3 linked regions of the Coturnix japonica genome follow. The main gene of each other region encodes a partner of the protein of the gene in region 2 in a complex. Links are inferred from orthologs where the notes say so. Each region holds a gene or a part of one and is shown on either strand. Other genes may lie near its edges. The genes, in order: CDH5, PARD3 and PRKCZ.

What was found.
Region 1: the proteins of PARD3 (region 2) and CDH5 are in contact, whole or in part, in an NMR structure (PDB 2KOH), measured with the Mus musculus proteins. The link is inferred for Coturnix japonica from reciprocal best matches to the Homo sapiens genes PARD3 and CDH5. Residues at the interface, in NP_296369.2 of Mus musculus: Ala599, Gly600, Leu601, Gly602, Val603, Ser604, Val605, Lys606, Gly607, Arg609, Lys611, Lys622, Ile625, Asn655, Gln656, Met659, Arg663, Met666; in NP_033998.2 of Mus musculus: Tyr774, Gly775, Asp777, Gln779, Glu780, Glu781, Leu782, Ile783, Ile784.
Region 3: PARD3 (region 2) and PRKCZ share a complex: the UniProt entries of both Homo sapiens proteins name them as parts of the par polarity complex. The link is inferred for Coturnix japonica from reciprocal best matches to the Homo sapiens genes PARD3 and PRKCZ.

The regions. Positions count from the first base shown.
Region 1 is NC_029526.1:10,029,480-10,033,771, forward strand, and holds the start of CDH5 (cadherin-5), read right to left. Parts: upstream 2,980-4,292; 5' UTR 2,965-2,979; coding exon 2,842-2,964; intron 1-2,841. UniProt on the Homo sapiens protein: Cadherins are calcium-dependent cell adhesion proteins. They preferentially interact with themselves in a homophilic manner in connecting cells; cadherins may thus contribute to the sorting of heterogeneous cell types.
Region 2 is NC_029517.1:11,840,900-11,844,888, forward strand, and holds the start of PARD3 (partitioning defective 3 homolog), read left to right. Parts: upstream 1-1,189; 5' UTR 1,190-1,293; coding exon 1,294-1,413; intron 1,414-3,989. UniProt on the Homo sapiens protein: Adapter protein involved in asymmetrical cell division and cell polarization processes. Seems to play a central role in the formation of epithelial tight junctions. Targets the phosphatase PTEN to cell junctions.
Region 3 is NC_029536.1:1,552,932-1,556,635, forward strand, and holds part of PRKCZ (protein kinase C zeta type), read right to left. Parts: intron 2,576-3,704; coding exon 2,486-2,575; intron 2,155-2,485; coding exon 2,104-2,154; intron 1-2,103. UniProt on the Homo sapiens protein: Calcium- and diacylglycerol-independent serine/threonine-protein kinase that functions in phosphatidylinositol 3-kinase (PI3K) pathway and mitogen-activated protein (MAP) kinase cascade, and is involved in NF-kappa-B activation, mitogenic signaling, cell proliferation, cell polarity, inflammatory response and maintenance of long-term potentiation (LTP).

The sequences.
Region 1 (4,292 bases), on a different chromosome or scaffold from region 2:
TAAATTAATATCTTTGGCATCATTTGCTGGGATTTTCAAAATCACACTTTGCTAATTAGGTAATCAGTGTTACCCTGTGCTGCAGCATCATTATCAGTAAAAAGATTTATTTACTGTGAAATTTTGCTCTCTTTACAGTTGTGCATGACCTGCAGAATGTTGTGATGTGTAAGAGATGACTAAATAGGCTGCCTTCAAAGCTGCTATTTAATAGCTGAGCTGTGGTTTGTACAGTTTTAGGGATTTATATAAAACTTTTTGAATCAGCTATTTATTTCTCTTCTGTGCATTTACTTTGGCTTTATTTTATCTTATTCCTAGAAAAAAATGAGTAAGATACAGTTGTTTTGCTTTATTTTATCCGTATATCCCAAATATTTTACAGCTGGAACTGTCAGGCACTGAATTTGATGCTGCTGTGCTCCATCTTTTGTTCATAAAGTTACAAAACATGGTAACCAAAGGAAAACCATTTGGCTAAAGTGAGCTGGTACAGTCTGTACTTCAGGAAAAACAGATGGTAGTGTTTCAGCTGCCATTTCCTCTCATTGCTGTGGTCCTGTGGGATCTCATGGATTTTTGCTGTGATGAGGTTAGCAGGTGAAACTGAGGACAGCACTGCCTGCTTGAGCTGCCATTCGTTTCACTGCAACTAATAATTTTATAGACCTGCAGAAAACATTTATAGCTCAAATGTCAAGTCTTGATTAAAGCATACTTTAAAAACCCTCTTGGATCTGTGGCTTTGTTCATCACAGTATTTCAGGGTGCCCTTTATTGGCAGCACATACAGACACTTTGGAAGCAGGGTCCTGCTGCACTCTGACTCTTACTAATAATTCAAACCTTTTTTTTTTTTTTTTTAATTTAAGCAAGGACTGTAAGTGTTCCTCCAAGTTAGCAGGGGAATGGCTTATTCAAATACTTAAACTTCTTGTTATGCTCTTAAATTTTCTTACAGCGAATGATATTTCTTCCACCAGCATTATTCATTTTATGTATTGAGTTATTTCAGAAAATAACTTGTTCTGCAGGGTACTGTAGACATTTAACTGAGAGATGCTGGTGTTCAGACTGATTTATAAGACACCTGATACGTACAGTGTAGTTTCTTCTTGCAGACTGGGAGTAATTATTAAAGAAAAATCAAGTGAAGATGCAGGTAATACTGTACTGATTGGAAATTTGCATTTTGCAGGTTATTTTAGTAAGTAATCAAACAAGTCTGATGATAAATAGTGTCCATTCAATGAAAATACATTTGATGGAATATTCTAATGAACATTTGTTGTTTTATTTTATTTTATTTTATTTTATTTTATTTTATTTTATTTTATTTTATTTTATTTTATTTTATTTTATTTTATTTTATTTTTTTTCTGGTATTTCCCTTTTACTTGGCTTAATTCTTGCTCTGAAATTACCTATTCGTGCTTATGTGAGGTTAGGTTAATTAATTACAAATCTTGTTCTATGCTTGTATGTTAAGTCAAACTTAAACCACTTTTCTACATGAAGACTTTGATAAATATGCAGACATCTGTAGCTAAACTGAGGTGTTAATCAGATTAAGGTATTCTTAGAGAGCTTTTGTTTTGTGGCATTTGTTTCCAGGCAAGACAGAAGTAATGATGTAAAATATCCTAAGAGAGGAATTTGCTTGGAAGTCACTATTATACACCAGGGAAGAAATAAGCCCTTCTTGATCCCCTGTAATAACTCTTCCCATGGTTTTTTTTTTTGTTTTTTTTGTTTTTTTTTTAAATTTAATTTTATTTTTTTTTAATTTTATTTTTTTTTAATTTTATATTCAGATAATTTGCATACCTGATTGTTATAAAAAGCTGGAAACTAAATGATTATTGATTGTTGAGCTGGAAACTTAATGATTATTTTTGTTTACAGTATCATGGTCGGAATCTGAACAGTGTAAATGAAAATGAAAAATCTCTTTTGAAATTGAGAGTTTCATCAGGGTAGAAAAAAATAAGAAAATGACTGATAAGTGAATAATACAAGACAGGTTATATTCTGTTACACAGTACTGGCAACTCCCCTCCAGGGGGAGGTCTGTATTACCACAAGTATTGTTATAAGCCTTTCCCTGTCCCCTCCCTAGGCAGCTCTGTGTGAAAATTCTGCTGAATTTGCCAACTCTTCAAAATTAGATGTTGTTCAGGTGCAAAAATTTTACTTTGATTCAATATCTGGACACTTGCTATTCTTAATGAAGCCACATTAGATTTAATGAGAGCAGGTTGACTCAACAAAACAACTTTTTTTTTGTCTAACAAAACAACTCTGCCTTACAGAGCCCAGTTTTACTGTTACTTTCTCATTTATACAATGTGTAAGACCAAATGTGAATTTCTGAATACAGTAGGCAGTAAGAAATAGAAAAGTAACCACCAAATGTAAGGAAGATAAATCATCTTTGCAGTGCCTGTAGATTAATGCATGCTATGCGTGCTTTGCAGAAGGAGCATGTTTGGTAAGCAGACAAAACTTGATTAGAAGAAAGTAGCCCTAGCAGTACTTACTGCTGCATTTCAGGGACTGCAAATGGCTGTGCTAACATGAATGGATAAAACCTTCTCAGATCTGTGAAAAGCACTGCTGCTAGATGAAAAGCTGTATCCCTTTCAAAAGGTACCTTTGAAGCACAGAGGACTTAAATTTCTTTGCCATCTCCTGTCATGGACTGAGGTCAGCACTAACAGCAGACTTGGATTTTTTTCTCCCAATTTTTTTGATCTCCTAATTAGACAACATTGCTCTAACCTGCTCTGACAAACCCGGAGAGACAAGGCAGCAAAGTAATGACACAGATAGAATTGTTACCTGCACTGCATGCTCTGAGTGGCTTCTAAATTGCAAAAAAGCAGTCCTCCTTTGCTCCAGTGAGTTTACAGGGTGAGAATAGTTAAGGACACATAGTGAGTTCAGTGGGAATGGGAACCACATCTTCAACCTTCAGTGACACATTGGGAGGTTGTGCAACATTTAACTCGGAGAGAGCATTTCTTGTTACTCTTCTTTGTGTAAATTATTCCTCTGCGCTTCTCTTGTTTCTGATTAAAGCTGTCTTGTCACATACTCTCAACAATGTACAATAATTCATTCTAAAGTGGGTCTTTCCTGAGAACATTGTGCTGCTTTTTGGTTTCCAGCTTATTGAGCTGATTTAAATGTGCCTGGTGCCTGGCTGCCTAGTATTATGGTGTTGATTGTCCTTATGTCGGCTTTATACACCTGAGAAGTGGCTTCCACTGATGACTAAACAGCCGGGAGCACAAATGCCTACCTGAAAACTGATTATAAAATGACTTTTTATATGCATGATAGTACCTTCAAGTAAATAGCCACTTTGATGACTAAACAATCTGGACTGCAAATGCCTGCCTGAAAGCTGATTATTAAATGGCATTTTATACTTGTGATAGTAGCTTTGAATGAACAGTCGCTTCAGCAGTATTTTAACCAAATGTGCAACTGCAAAAAAATCCCACATCACTCTGTATTGAGTGAGCACTGTATTCTGTATTCTCTGTATTCTTAGCACTGGAGCTCCGCAGCGGAGCTGAGGAGTTTGTTCTGTGTCTGATTTTGGCCCACAGTTTGTTACCTCATGTTTTTTTCTGAAGAAAAAAAAGCATTTTTTTTCTTTCTGTATGTTCTTTCTGATTTCAGCTCTACATTTCTGGTGAGTCTGGGGAAAATAATGATTTTTTCCATCTCTTCAGCATACCAAACAATTCTCTCTTAGGTGGTAGAAAATACAACTGCATCTGATGGTTGGATGGAGTCCTTGGGCAGGTCAGACACCTCTTCCATAGATGAAAAAATGTTTATTTGTTGTTATTTATAGTCCCTTTAAACAATAATAACCGTGAATATGGTGTGTATGTTGAAGATTCTTTTCTTTTGATTAGATAGCCCATGGTCAGCAGCGAGCAAAGGACGCCAGACTGATAGCAGGCAGCAAGACAGGGCTCCTGGTCTTTCTGTTGTTTCTGACACAGAACTAGGTAAAAATGAGGGAGGCAAGCACTGATATTGGCCTTTAAAAAAATACATATATATTATTTAAGAAACAAAGCTACCTCCACACCAGTGTGTGAATAGCTGTGAACTAAGGATGGTGAAAGCAGTAATGAAACCTACACTAATGCCCTCCCAGAGCTTCCTGACTGCTTTGCTTGCATTTCAGTAAGTGACCTGCTGACTTGGGGGTTTAAGAGCTGTGGGAAGTACAGAGGAAGGCTGTGAACTGAAAATATGGTCGAAGAGGG
Region 2 (3,989 bases):
TCTGGCCACACCAAGTGCTCAGTGAACTGTGCAGCTCCACAGTCTTAAATGAAATCCATGGAAAAATGTGAGAGGTATTTGCCAAGCATTTTGATGGCTCTGGGGAGTAAACTGCTCAGCGATCTCATTAATGCTCATGTACATTGGTCATAGAGTTGCTTGAGTTGGAAGGGACCCTTAAAGGCCATCTGGTCCAACCCCCTACAGTGAACAGGGATATGTACAACTCCATCAGGTGCTCAGAGTCCCACTGAGCTTCTCTAGGGATGGGGCATCCACCACCAATCTGGGCACCCTGTGCCAGTGCCTCACCACCTTTACTGTATAAAAACCCTTATTTATATCCAATCTAAATCTCCCCCCTTTTAGCTTGAAGTCATTTCTCCTTATCCTGTCCCAATAGACCCTGCTAAAGAGGGTGTTCCCTTCTTTCTTACAGCATCCCTGTAGTTACTGAAAGACCTCTATTAGGTCTCCCTGGAGACTTTTCCAGGCTAAACAGCCCCAGGTCGGTTAGAATCAGCCTGATGACACATTGGTTTTCTCCTGTGTATCTATGCCAGTTCTGTCATGCTAAAAGAAACACGAAGGGCCATGAAGACCACCTGGCTCTCCACAAAAGTCAGGTAGAAAAGTGGAAAGATACTGTTTCCATGCTTTCTGCAGTTTAGCGCCTTAGTTTCATCCTTCAGATTAGTGGCGGAAGAGCAGCAGGCAATGCTCTGAGAGGAACAGCCGGCTGCGCCCACTCCTCTCAGCGGACCAACTGGTGTCGGGGGGAACAGCTCCTGCAGGGTTAGCGGTGCCGCCAGGGCTCGGGCCGGCCACCCCACCTCCACCGGGTGCCAGCGCTGCTCCTCGGCTGCCCGGTGCGCCCCGCGGCGCCGTCCGGCTGCACCCGCCCCGCTGCAATGCCCCGTTCCTCCGGAGCGGGGAGGCAGCGCCGCGCCCCGCCCGCCGCCGCTGCGCGCCGGGGCAGGCGCCGAGCAGGTGGCCGCAGGCAGCGGGCAGCTCCGCGGCATGTGAGCGGCCACGGCCTGCCGAGCTCCCCCAGCCAGGCAGAGAGCGGCCCTCGTCCTGCCGTACCCCTACCCCGGTCCCCTGCTCGTACCCCTGCAGCGGGGCGCACGCAGCGACAGTCCGGCGGCGGCGGCGGCCGGGGGCTGAGCGCCGCGCCCCGCCGGGGGGCGGCCGTGGCGGAGGGCGGAGAGGCGGCGGAGGAGGAGGAAGAGGAGGAAGAGGAGGAAGGCTGCGCGGGGCCGGAGGGATTCGGGATCCCCCCGGCCACGCAGGATGAAAGTCACCGTGTGCTTCGGGAGGACGCGGGTGGTCGTACCCTGCGGGGACGGCAACATGAAAGTTTTTAACCTCATCCAGCAAGCGGTGACCCGGTACAAGAAGGCAATCGCCAAGGTGAGGGGCGCGGGGAGCGGCGCCCGCGATCAATATGGCGCTTCCCGGAGCGGGGAGGGAAGCGAAGGGGGGAAAGTCCGGGCTGCCCCGCTCGGGGCGGCGGCCGCGGGGCCTCGGTCCGGACGGCGGCGGCCCCAAGCAACCAACCCAGCGGAGCTGCGCTCGGAGCGGCCGCGGGAAACACGAAGGGGGGGGCGGCGGCCCCTCGACCGGCCTCCCGGCGCCGGCCTCTCTGCGGCGGCCCCTCGGCGGCGGGCGGAGAGCGCGGCTCCCCGCGGGCGCCTGGCGGGCCTCGGCCCTTTGTTCGTTAGTGCCCAGCAGCGGGGCAGCCGCCGCCGGGAGCGCCGTTGCCGCGGGGCGAGGCGGGCTGTTCGGCCCGGCCCGGCCGGGGAGGGGCGCGGGGGCCGGTGTTGCCCCGGGCGGGTGGCGGAGCCGAGGCGAGAGCCGCTGGAAATCCAGCCGCAGGCTTCCCGGCCATCCAGGCCCGGTGGGGAGGCGGTGCGGGGGGAGTCCGCCAAAGGGACGCCCCCGGGCCGAACCCCCGGTCCCACTCCGGCCGAGGCTCCGCGGGGCCCCGTGCGGCCTCTGCGAGGCTCCGGTTGTACGCGGGAGCCCCGAGAGCTGGAGGCGGCCGCGGGGTGCGGGAGCCCCGAGCTCGGCCTGCGGTGGGGCCGAGCCCGAACGCTGTCCGTGCCGGCCTCCTAAAGCCCCATGTTGAAATCTCGGCTGTGGTTGTGCGGCGGTTACACGCTCGGTTTCCCTGCCACAGATTTGTTGGAACTGCTCTTTTGCGTCTCTCCGCTCTTTTTCTTGTACTTTCTTCTTGTTGCTGCAAAGTTTTTAACCAGCCGTTGACTGGGACTATACCAAAGTCTCTCTCTCGAAGCTAAATTGCCATCCCTTCTCCTTTCCTCTTCTCGATTCGTTGAAGCGCTGTGTGCAGCTTTTCTGAGCCGCTCAGTTGGTCCTCACTCCCCCAGATCTGGGAGTTTTATGTTGGCAAACGCCGACCTGAAAGCTCTGAAGCTGCAGCTCGGCTGGGAGAGCTCTGTGGGTAGAAGCGGTGGGTGGGATCCCGGGAGATGTCTGAGATCGGTGTTCTCAGAGGGAGCTCTGGGTGCCGCATGGTGGGGGGACACTGGGGCTTCCATCTCCTCCCTGCTCTGTTCCTGAGGGTCCTGATTTGGAAGAATAAAAGCAGGAAACGCTCGCTGCACTTTTATTCTCCTGCAGCAGTGGCGATTCTGGCTAGGAAAAGAGTAAGGGGCTGCCTGGCATGGGGCTGCACGGTCACTGGTTGCATGCTGCAGGCGCTGTGTGTGCACACATGCTGTGGGTACAGCATAGTGGCCCTAAGTATATCCTGTGGGAGCACCGAGGGCTTCATTGGGCCGTTTGTGTGAGAAGCATTTGCAGAATTCGTTCTTCAGTGCTCCAGCATTGGCAAATATCAAGTATTGTGATGCCTGAGATTTGCAGATAGTCACAGCCTGGCTCCCCCAGCTCCCTGCCCTGCTTTACGTGGCGCGGTGCTGCAGGTATTAGCAGTTATACGGCGGTTACACAGAGTGCCACGGGTATGGGCTGGAGTAGCCGTAATTACTGAGATTGTTTCTATTATATGGAAATAATGTGGTTGAAAACTTAGCAGCAGCATCCACAGGCTCCTCTGTGGGTGCTTTTTGCAGCCAGTGTCACACTTTGTGTTTAACCTGACCTCAGCAAAGCTTTTCCTCAGTGCTACCTGGGATGGATCCCAGAGACTCCCATATGTGCATGGGTAACATTGTAAATGTATGATTCCAGGGGCAGGGCTTCATGGGTTACTGTCTCCTTCCAGCAGTTACATGGTTGCTTCCAGTGCTGGTGTAGTGTTAGTGTAGCACTAGTGTAGCCAGGGAGCAACCCTCCCATCTGGAGGGAGATGGGGAGGAGACAAAGTGATTTCTGCACTGAGAAGTGAAGGTGTGTGTGTGATGAAGGGCCCTCGCAGCTGGCCCCACACTGACACGGAGTTTTCCTGAACCACTGCTGTGGAAAATGCCTTTGTGGTGGAACAGTATTCAGAATAGTTTAATGAAATGTATGGTTTTCATGCTGACTGCAAAGCACCATTCCTCATCCTGCCCAAGGTCTGGTAGCTCAGTGTTGCCGTGCTGCTGGGAGAGGGTCGGAGCTGCTGCTGGCCTCAGCCAGAGCTACCTGAACTCTGTTACTGAGGCCACGTGCTGGAAGTGAGGAGAGTATATATTCAGGTAATGGAGATGGTAGTGAGGTTCTCCTCTTTATGAAACATTTTAGCTCATGGCTGACACACCTACTTGCTGCAGCCTCTTGTGGAATCTGCTATCTGTGGTTGGGGTTTGTACACCTCAAAGAAGTTCAGCGTGGATTAACACAGCTGTTGGTACTAAATCTTTATGTGTGGAATGACTTCCTAACATGGTGGGCTGCGTGTGGAGTGCTTTGTGTCCAGGAAATCTCTGTGATCCCTTGCCTTTGTTCCAAAGGGAGCTCTGTATCTGAAACGTGATCCATTTCTCCCCAAGTTTTGTTTGCAGAGAAAGATGAAGTGA
Region 3 (3,704 bases), on a different chromosome or scaffold from region 2:
TCACATCTCTGCCTCATGTATCCAGGCACGGGTGGTACTGGCTCCCTTGGGAGGCTGTAGCTCGCAGCTGAGGCACAGACTAAAACATGGCATGGATGTCAAGGAGCTGATGTCACAAAAACAAGTATTTCTCTGATAAAACCAGCGATGCCGTTCGGGAAGTCTGACAAATCAATAGGAATTGTTCAGCTAAACGCGCTTTGTTCTACAACGTGCTGCAGCAGCAAGGGGAATAAATCAGATCAAAATCTGTCGGTATAAATAAGCTGAAACTACAATAATTAGCAAAACTGCCAATCAGAAACCACGCGTGCATCAGGACGGCCCTCGCTTACGAGCACAGACAAGAAATAGATAAACATTTCAGAAACAGCCCTGTTTAATGTCAGTTCCCAAACGAAAGCTCATTTATACTCCACGAGTATTTTTAAATACAGCAGACTGGCAGCCAAGTCCCCCATTTTTAATCAGGGAACACCAGGACCAACCAAGGACTGAGGCTCAGGCAGCAGCTGCCAGGAACGCCCCTGAGCTGCATCCAGAGCCTGGTAAGGGCTGCAGGCACTGCAGAAGCTCTGCCATTCCCAGCCAGGGATGCACTGCCTCACCCAAGGCAGAAGGTGCTGCTCCTACAGCAGCTGTACATCCATGGGAGGAGCTAAATCAAGGAGGGGTGAATAACACAGGAGAAAAAGAGTCTGTACAAATCTGACTCTAAAGAATCCGCAGTTATTCCACGTTGCAGACAGCAGCGTAACAAAATAAGGAGCTTCTTCAAGCACAGAAAGAACTTCTTACACCACGTGACTGAAATTACAATGGCATTTGCATTCCTTATTTCATTAATGGATTACATGTGTTTATTTCAGGCCTTACTGGCTGGCACAGCCTCAAAGCCACATCAGTTTCACAAAGTTTCATTACTAGATTTCAACACAACACAAAATACTCGGATATTTCTGCACTCTTACTCCAAAGGATGAAACATCACTTTGAAACATGCTGTACATTTCTAAGCAAAGGACGCTATTTGAGCCCTGTTAACTTCCCAGTTCCCATTAAACACAGAGCAAAGAGCTGAGCACAAAGTCATATTTTTAATTCAGGTCTTTTACCTAGGTGTATTTCTAGAGCATAAGAAGTTAAAGTGCTACTGAGATAATCTACTTCCCTTGCATGGCCTTTAAACAAACAATATCATGTGAATCAGTAGCATTTCCATATAGCCCAAGAGCAAAGCAGATCTTTGCTGTACATGTGCAAGTAATAAGCAGTAATGCTGAATGCATTAGCATACTCTAAATTAGCACCGGTGCGGCTTAACAGCTCTGGTGTAAAAACAGTCTGAAAATATTTACTGCCAGGCCACAATAACAGATTTGCACGTAGGTCCCGTGGACACAAAGAAGCAACAGGCTCCAAGTTCACCCATTAACTGAGAAATCAGACCACAAATCACTAAGAACATCCAACAGAACAGCCATTTTAAACAAAGAACAGCTCAACCCTACAAATGGAGCACACAGGTCACCTGTACCATGCTAATTGATGCTCCTCGAGCTCATCTGATGGCCCACAGTCATTAAAAACACCTACAAATCAGTATCAAAACCACTTTTCTTCTAAATATCCACATCTCTAATGAGAACATTAAATCACAACAAACTTTTATTTGCAGTGAAATCTCTCCTGTTAGCTCACTCTTTTTGATGATAGCATAGTGGAGGCTTATCCACCTTTTAAAGGAGTTCAATGACCAAATAAGCCTTTTGTAAAATAAATTGAAAAAATAGTGCATTTCACTCTTACATACATCAATTTGTTACCCCAAAAGTTAAGAAATAAAAGAAATGCAAAAGTAGGGACCACATTAAATCCTGACCTCTTTTCCTCCCAGCTACTGGAAACCAGTACTAATCCTTAGAAACATTACAGTATCAGTAGAGAAACTTCATAGTAATATGTTAAATACTGAACATATTAATTGTAGAAAACCACAGAACAAATACACATATATAAAACCAGCTTATAAAAGCTTTCAATGTATTTTTTTGTACAGTTGAAGAAATAGAAGCTGGAATCTGGTAGCATTGTGGTACTCACTGTCTTCTCCTGGGCAAGGCATGCCAGGTCTCTCTGGAATGCTTGGGAAAACTGGAAATAAAACATGAAGCCTTTAAGTGAGAAGACTCTCAGCAGCTCTATTCACCTGATTCTTGAATACAGTTACTCAAAACCAAAACTTTCTGCAATCACAACTACTGCCAGCACTGCCTGCATTCACAGATCTGGGTTCAGAACTTGAAGCCCACACCATGGTGCCAGCTGTGAACTCCACAGCCAACAGAACCCTTCAGCCTGATGGTACCAGAGCACAGGGCACCCCAGGCATAGAAGGATGCTATCTGACAGGCAGAAGTTGTTCTAATCTGAAGCTGTTATGTTTTCCAAATACACACAAGGTCTCAAACTGTATAATACTTGCCATGAATAATCAGCCCTTCCTCTCTGTTTTGACAATACAGTCGGAAGGCTTCTTCCAATTCCATCTGAGATGAGATGGTACATGGGTCACCTGAGGAGCAAAACAAGACATATGGATTTATAACTGAAATACTGAGTAGGCTACTTCATTGAGCATCAGCCCATGGACTGTTTTCTGTCAGTCACTTGAAATGTATCAGGCACTTTGATCAGATACAGAATGTAAGAACAAGTTACATAAAGGTGCACACAGATTTGAGTCTCTTTTGTTAGATTCAGAGAAGCAATCTATGACTGAATTGCAGCAAATAAACACAGGTGAATGTTATGGATACACACTTACAACCTTTTCTGTTGTTTGTTTTCTGCACCCACACACTTCATCAGTGCAGAACAAGCTTTTAAATGCACTCAAAGGCAACAGCAACATGTTAGCCTCCTTTGTATCCCAAAACAGCCTAATAAGTAACTCAACCAACAAGTAAACTAAATGGAGACACCCACCCTCAACAAAACCCAACCTCCTGTGCTACCTGAATCTCCCTTTCATCAGCCATCATGCAGTTCAAAACACATGCAGTGTTCTGTGGGCATTTATCAAGTTACTTTTCATTAGACTAATACATACAGCAATGAAACAACAAACTGAAATCTGTATAGCTGTCTACATGTTTGTCAGCCTTCAGATGAAGTTGAGTGCTAGTGCAATTGTATAATCACAAGGCAGCTGTTAATAACCTACTAGCCAAGAGATCTGCCCATAACAAGTTACAGCTGCATCACACCTGAGAGTCATAAGCAGATATCTGAGTTGTTAAGAAAAGCAGACAGGTAGCAAGGGCACACAATGCCAAGCACTTCCATCCCGCTCCTACTCACAGCAACCAGAAGGCTCTATCTAACTTAAGGCTGTAGAGAAATGCCACATTTTGCAGCAAGAAGACATAATGAAAACCATCTCACATCATGATGACATCTCAGAGCCTACAGGAAGGGTAAAGAAAAGGGAAATTTCTCAACTATTTTTTGAAGAAACACACTGATAAATCCTTTACATGCAGGGATAACTTGGAACAAGACTTGCCAACATCAGCCTTTCCTGCAGAAAGAAAGTAGGCAGCAGAGACTTGCCCAACAAATGATTTCAGCACGACTTTATGAACTCCATACTTTGTTAACATAATGGCTCATACTATTTCTCCCCACACAGAAAATCCTTT